Callithrix jacchus: one gene and its partner. The protein of the gene in region 2 interacts with the protein of the main gene of each other region in a pairwise test. Links are inferred from orthologs where the notes say so. Each region holds a gene or a part of one and is shown on either strand. Other genes may lie near its edges.

Evidence for each region.
Region 1: the proteins of LRP1 (region 2) and MAPK8IP1 interact in a two-hybrid assay, tested with the Homo sapiens proteins (2 studies listed by BioGRID). The link is inferred for Callithrix jacchus from reciprocal best matches to the Homo sapiens genes LRP1 and MAPK8IP1.

What each region holds. Positions count from the first base shown.
Region 1 is NC_133511.1:110,923,394-110,927,198, reverse strand, and holds part of MAPK8IP1 (C-Jun-amino-terminal kinase-interacting protein 1), read right to left. Parts: intron 1,975-3,805; coding exon 1,654-1,974; intron 157-1,653; coding exon 75-156; intron 1-74. UniProt on the Homo sapiens protein: The JNK-interacting protein (JIP) group of scaffold proteins selectively mediates JNK signaling by aggregating specific components of the MAPK cascade to form a functional JNK signaling module. Required for JNK activation in response to excitotoxic stress.
Region 2 is NC_133510.1:62,493,066-62,496,473, reverse strand, and holds the end of LRP1 (prolow-density lipoprotein receptor-related protein 1), read left to right. Parts: intron 1-181; coding exon 182-343; intron 344-616; coding exon 617-791; intron 792-922; coding exon 923-1,024; intron 1,025-1,184; coding exon 1,185-1,249; intron 1,250-1,360; coding exon 1,361-1,451; intron 1,452-1,553; coding exon 1,554-1,698; intron 1,699-1,849; coding exon 1,850-1,990; 3' UTR 1,991-2,666; downstream 2,667-3,408. UniProt on the Homo sapiens protein: Endocytic receptor involved in endocytosis and in phagocytosis of apoptotic cells. Required for early embryonic development. Involved in cellular lipid homeostasis.

The DNA of each region.
Region 1 (3,805 bases), on a different chromosome or scaffold from region 2:
GGGGTTTGTTCTCTGCAGTGGGGTTTGAGTCAGGGCAGGGTGAGGTCCAGGTAAGGAAGAGGGCCCTGACTTACCTGTCTTCAGGGGTGAGGATGATCGAGACACCCGATCCTGCCAACTGTGCTTTTTGCCCAGAGAATTATTATTCAGTGTGTCCTGTTCGGGGAACAAAAGGCTCTTGTGATGGAAGTGGTCAGCAGTGCCGGGCACAGGGAGGCCCCGGCCCTGCCCCCTCAGGCCATCCCTAGGGCGTCTGCTATGCCCATCCCGCCTCCACTGTCAAAGGCCTCACTCCCAACTCCCCTCTGGAGCAGGCAGCAGGGGTGGCAAGTCACAGCCAGGCCTGCTGGCTCCGGATGGCCCTCCGCCTTGCTCAGGGAAGCTGGCCAACCCTCAGGGAGATGTTCTTATCAGCTTTAACAAAGATGGCAATGGCCAGTGTGTGTGGTTCGGCAAGAGGAGGAGACTGGGGGGGGAGAAGAGAAGTGGTAGCTCTTTGGAGACACAGTAAGACCCCCAGTTCCAGACACTGAGGGTTACTTGGCAAAAGCTCAAATCCAGCCCAAGTCAGAGACAGGTAATTCTCTGCTCTGGAGCTTGCGAAGTTATGGCCTAGAAGGGGTGGGGACCTGGAAAAAGCACAAGGAAGGGTCTCCCCAGCAGCTGGCCTGGGGGACTGGGATGAACTATCCCAGTGACAAATCCATAACAGAGTTTTCCTGCACCTGCCCCCCCCCCCACAGTGGCACGTGACTGAGGAGTGACAGAGGCAGTTGTCAGCAGCCCTCCTTCCTGGATCTCCTGGGCTGCCCATTCCACATTCTCAGCCCCAGGACCCTCCCCACAATGCCCACACAGGGCTCCCTCCACTCCACCAAGGCTCTCTCCCCTGGGAGTGCTCTCGCAAGCCCTCACGTTCCTGAACTGGATTGCCAAAAGCCATTCACAGGATCCTGGGAAAGGGACCAAGCCTTTCCCTGCCACCCCACTTCCCAGAAGCAACTTCCCTGCACTGCTCCCAATGGTTCTGGAAGACAAAAGGCCACAGCCGGCTCCCCCAACCCTATTCAACTCTCCTTGGCATCTGGCCACCCTCCCAGGGGCCCTAGGCCCCCAACTCAGCCAAACAGCTCCATCCCCCATTCCTCTCCCCTGCCTTCTGGGAATTCCCAGCTGCCCAGATCTCAAACTGGCTGTGGCTCCTGAGTTCCCTGTCCCCACCTCTCCACAATCTTCCATGGCATCCCCCTTGCTGACCATTTCAGATGCCCTTTTCTCCAGGCCCTGCTCCTGACCCACTTTCACCAGGAACCACATACCCTAAAGGAGAAACCCTGTCACAGCCTGAGGTTCCACGCTTCAAACCCAACCCCTCAAAGCTCTGTTCTCTTAATTCCCTACTCCTAACTCCAGTCCTTCCCTCCTCCAATCCCTCCTCAAGGTTCTAAGCCCAGCATGAACTCAGCCCTCTTCCTAAGGACGGACCTGCCTGCTCCTCAGAGCCCACCCCCGGGAGGGAGCCACTGCGGCCTCTATGCAGGCGCTGTCCCCAGGCACCGGACCCGAGGGTGCCCCTCCCGCTGCAGCCCCTCGGCGCTCCCCCTCACATCTCCGGCGCCCCAGGGCACCGCCCCCTCCGTTTTGGCGCCTCACCTGAGACCGCGGCACCTGCGGAAAGAGGTTGAGCGTAGTGGGCCGCTTGGGCCGGTACGTGTCCCCGCTGCCTGGGCCCAGTCCCTGGCCCTGGCTCTGGCCCTGGCCCTGGCCACGGGACACTGGCTCCTGGCTGGACTCGGCCTTGGGCGGCCCCGCTCCCGACCTCCGGGCTGCGCGCTCCTCGTCGTCGTCCTCCTCGTCATCCTCGGCCCCGGGAGTGTCCCCTGCCGCGTCGATCAGGTCCATCTGCAGCATCTCGGCCTGCAGCCGGCTCCCCGCACTGCCGCCGCCCGCAGACAGCAGCCCGGCGCGCGGGGGCTGCGTGGTGCACGGAGGGGCGTCAGGGGGCGGGGAATGGGCGGGGCAGAGGCTGCTTGCACCGCCCCCCGCCCGGGCGAGTCCATTCCGTGGCGCGAAGGGGGAACGAAGGGAGCGGAGCGGGGGGGCCGCCAGAGACAGGGGCGCTCTCGCCTGCCCCCAACAAGGAAGCTCAAAGCCGCCTCCTCCCAACTCCAGCCATGCCTCTGACGGCCTGCACCCCCACTACTGTCCCCACTCCGACTCCTTGCACCCTCCCGTTCCCTTGGCAACGGCCGGTGACCTCACCGGGGTTGTAAGCCGAGCCCAGAGTGAAGTCACCGCTGTTGCTATGGGGACTCAGTAGTCGCCAAGGAGTTCCAGGCCCCCCAAGGGATGGGGGCGGGAGAAATAGTATTTGAAGGGGCGGTAAGGAAAACTGGTTAAACTGAGGCTCAGCCAGGCAAGGAACCGTGGAGACCTGAGAGGGCCGGGAAGAGGACGCGGAGAGGAAGGGGCGAGCGGGGCCCCGGAACCAAGGTGGTGGTAGCCCTGCCCTCAGTCCGCCGGCCCAGGCCCCTCCAGCCCGAGATCGGCCCTCCGCGAGCCTGCCTTGAGGGTGCGAAGCCCCATCCTAGCTCCAGTTCTGCCGCCAACTCCTGGCACCTTGGACAGATCCCCTGGCCCTTCAGACCCCCTCATCAGTTGAGTGGAGAAAACACTACTGCCTCCCAGCCTTCAAGAAAGCAGAGGACTCACTGGAACGCGTGTGAAGCCCGCTGGAGCTCATCTGCGGCCCCTCAGGGACACACCTCTGGCCAGTAGTGCCTGGGGGCCCTGCCTAGCTAGGGGGCTGCCCTCTCCAAGGCTCTGATAGTGCAGTTGGGGAGAGGGCAGGGTGAGAGTCCAGAACAGGTGCCTGAACTTTAAGAAGCTAAGTCAGGGCCCTGAGACCATTCCCCAAATCTGGAGGCCTCTGCCTCTTCCTCATCTGGCCGGAGGGTGGAAGGTTGGGGTACAGGGGGCCGGGGGTTATCCTCACTCCTTGGTTTCCTCTTGCCTGGCAGAGCTTACTGAGTCTCTGGGGGTAGCAGGAGGTCAACAAAGAGAGAGGCACCCCCTCCCCAAGGCACACCACATGCTCCTACGGTAACCACTCTCCCGACACCATATCTAGCTACCTACACTCTTAGGGGCTGAGAGGAGCTCTGGGCTCTAAAACCTAGCCCTGTGTTCTGTCTTCCATTTCCTGGCTAGCCAATCCTTCTTCCTGTTCTAAAAAGACATAGCAGGGATCCCCATCTGACCCCAGCTCTCCAGGTGCCAGAAACCTCCTGGCAGCATTCAGATCATTAGGGACAGGAGAGAGCCATCTTCCCTATGACAAAGCCAAGGGGCCCAACCAGTAGCAATGCTGGGTAAACCCCTCAGTGGGGGCCTTTAGGACTCAGGGGCCAAGGAAGGTCTGAGAGGTAGTGTGGTGCCATCTGTCTGGTGTAATAGCAGCCGGCAGCCATGGGAGTTATTCCAGGGGTGTCTTGGCGGTTTCTTCCTGCCCCAGAGCACTGCGGATTCCACCAGACTCCACCCTGTCTGCCTCAGGCCCTCTGCCAGGGCGGCTCCCAAAAGGATTTAGGGTAGCCCTGAGTCTCCCTTAAGTCTGGCCCTAATTGTTACTACCCTAGGTCTCAAGAGCTCCTGGCTTCTCTCGTCTTGTGGGCAGTTGAAGGAGCTACTTCCTGTCTTAGTCTCTGGAAGCAGTAACAATAATAATAAATAAAATTCTGATTGTACACCCGAGACATGCCAAGCAGTATACCTATGTTTCTTGCACCATCATTTCATGAGGGTG
Region 2 (3,408 bases):
ACCACCCGCTGCCCCACCTCAGGCAGATGCCCAGCTCCTGCCTCACCTCTAGTCTCCTCTCCACAACCCAGCGTCCAGGCACTCCGGACTCTGCCTCCCGCCCGGGTCCAATCCATTCTTCTGCTGTAGGGCCAGGTGATCCCGAGGGCCACAGTCCCACTCACATATTTTCTCCCACCAGGCATGCCCACGTGCCGGTGCCCCACGGGCTTCACGGGCCCCAAATGCACCCAGCAGGTGTGTGCAGGCTACTGTGCCAACAACAGCACCTGCACCGTCAACCAGGGCAACCAGCCCCAGTGCCGATGCCTACCTGGCTTCCTGGGCGACCGCTGCCAGTACCGTGAGTGAGCCATCCCTGGGCCCCAAGGCAGGCAGGAGGGTGACGGAGGACCCCAGAGCATGGGGTAATGGTCCACCTGTGCCTGGGACCCACAGGGGCCAGTTCAGGAAGGCAGGCCTTTTGCAGCTGAGCCAGGCCCATGTGGCTGGCGCTTCCCCACAAAGATGCAGTGCACCCCCAGCACCAGGATTATCCAGAGAGAAAAGCTGTGCTCAACGTATATAGAACCCGTATGAGGGTGGGGCCTGACTTCCTCTCCCTTGCCAACCACAGGGCAGTGCTCTGGCTACTGTGAGAACTTTGGCACCTGCCAGATGGCCGCCGATGGCTCCCGACAATGCCGCTGCACTGCCTACTTCGAGGGGCCGAGGTGTGAGGTGAACAAGTGCAGCCGCTGTCTTGAAGGAGCCTGTGTTGTCAATAAGCAGAGTGGGGATGTCACCTGCAAGTGAGTGGGGCTCTCCTCCACAGGTCCACCCCGCCCGGCCCCTGCCCTGTCCCAGTCCTGCCCAGCCCTTCCTCAGCATCCCACACACACCTCTGCCAGCCCCAGCCCCAGCCTCTGATTTCCTCCTACAGCTGCACAGACGGCCGGGTGGCCCCCAGCTGTCTCACCTGTGTTGGCCACTGCAGCAATGGCGGCTCCTGCACCATGAACAGCAAAATGATGCCTGAGTGCCAGTGAGTTGGGCCTGGGCTTCACCCAGGCATAGAGCATCCCTCCCTTCCCCAGATCTGAGCAGGACTGCCGGGCCTCAGCGCCCACCCTCCATGCCCTGTCTCCCTGGCAGCAGTGGCTATGGAAGTTATGCCTACTCAGCCATGTCCCTCCTTTCTGCAGGTGCCCGCCCCACATGACAGGGCCCCGGTGTGAGGAGCATGTCTTCAGCCAGCAGCAGCCAGGACGTAGGTGGCAGGGGTGGGGCAGGCAGGGCCGCCGGAACCTAGATCAGGGGGACCGTGTGCCTCCTGCTTCCCTGAGCCTTGGTGACTCAGTATCCCACCTCTTCCCTCCAGATATGGCCTCCATTCTCATCCCTCTGCTGTTGCTGCTGCTGCTGCTTCTGGTGGCCGGAGTGGTATTCTGGTATAAGCGGCGAGTCCAAGGGTGAGTCACAGGCAATCTGGAACGTTCTGGCCATTGTTGCCATCCTGTAATAATGCCAACCCCCAATAATCTCTGTCTCCTTATCCTCCTACCTCTCATCAGGGCTAAGGGCTTCCAACACCAGCGGATGACCAACGGGGCCATGAACGTGGAGATTGGGAACCCCACCTACAAGATGTATGAGGGCGGAGAGCCTGATGACGTGGGAGGCCTCCTGGATGCCGACTTTGCCCTGGACCCTGACAAGGTGGGCTGGGAGGCAGGCAGGGTGGAGGGCCATGAGGCGGTAGGTGGCCTAACCAAAGGTGTTGGGTTAGGTGAGGGGGCGGAGGAGGGGGTGAGGTGATTTGGGCCACAGGCCAGCCGCTGAGCCCCACCTGAACCCTGTCACCCTGCAGCCCACCAACTTCACCAACCCCGTGTATGCCACACTCTACATGGGCGGCCACGGCAGTCGCCACTCCTTGGCCAGCACGGATGAGAAGCGAGAACTCCTGGGCCGGGGCCCTGAGGACGAGATAGGGGACCCCTTGGCATAGGGCCCTGCCCCGTCGGACTCCCCCCAGAGAGCCTCCTGCCCCCTCCAGAGAAGTCCTTCAGCGAGCCCCTCCCCAGCAAGCCCCTCCCCGGCCCCGCTGGATGTATAAATGTAAAAATGAAGGAATTACGTTTTATATGTGAGCGAGCAAGCCAGCAAGCGAGCACAGTATTAACTCTCCATCCCCTCCCTGCCTGCTCCTCGACACCCCCATCCTGCCTTCAGGGAGGCAGGCAGGGAGGGCTTGGGGCTGCACTTCCACCCTCCCACCAGAACGCACCCCACTGGGAGAGCGGGGACTGCTGACCCCTCACTGTATAAGACACTTTGCAAAGGCTCTCCCCTACTCCTGCTTACCTGCTCCCACAGCTCCCTGAGGGCTAATTCTGGGGAGGGAGAGTTCTTTGCTGCCCCTGTCTGGAAGCTGTGGCTCTGGCTGAGGTGGGCAGGAAAGGATGGAGTGTTTTAGTTCTTGGGGAAGGCCACCCCAAATCCCAGCCCCGACTCCAGGGGCCCCTATGAGATGGCCATGCTCAGTCCCCCTCTCAGACAGGCCCTCCCCATCTCCAGGGCCCCCACTGAGGTTCCCAGGGCTGGAGACTTCCTCTGGTAAACATTCCCCCAACCTCCCCTCTCCTGGGGATGCCGAGGAGATGGGCCACACCGAGGAAGGGCAAGTGGGCAGCCCCGTTTTGGGGACGTGAACGTTTTAATAATTTTTGCTGAATTCCTTTACAACTAAATAACACAGATATTGTTATAAATAAAATTGTAAAAAAAAAAGCCAAAAAAAAAAAAGAAAGAAAAAAAAAGCCACTGGTGTCTGCCTGTGTGTGGGAGACGCTGGGAGCTGGGGCTGCACTTGCCGCTTTGGCCACCAGAGGGAGACCTGCTCCGTGCTGGAGGCAGACGAGCTAGTTTTCAGTGCCCTTCCCTCTCCATCTTGCTGTGCCCGGGAAGCGGGTGGCACTGGACTTGACAAGGAAGATCTGCTTCTCCTGGCTGTGTGACCTTCAGCTGTGACTTCGAGTCTCTGGATCGTGTGTTCCTTCTAGCTCTAGGATGCTAACTTAGATCTGTTTCTCTGCATTCACCTCTACTGGACACCACCCCCCTACCCAAAATGATCTCCCACAGTGAGAAGCTCCACTATAAGAAGTGACTACATTGAGGCTGAGAAGGCTTTCCTATCCTTCAGGGTGCTCCCGTGCGATTCTCTCTGCCTGCATTTGCTCTTGAAGCACTGACATTTGTGGAGACGAATGAATCAGATGTGAAGTACAATGCTGCATTCCAGAGCCCAGGGGTCTCCTGGGATGAAGGAGAGCTGGGAAGACCAGTTTGCCAGGCCCTTAGCAGCTCCAGCTCACCAATCATTTTAGCCATTCCAGGGGGTAACAGGAAAAAACTCAATCAAAG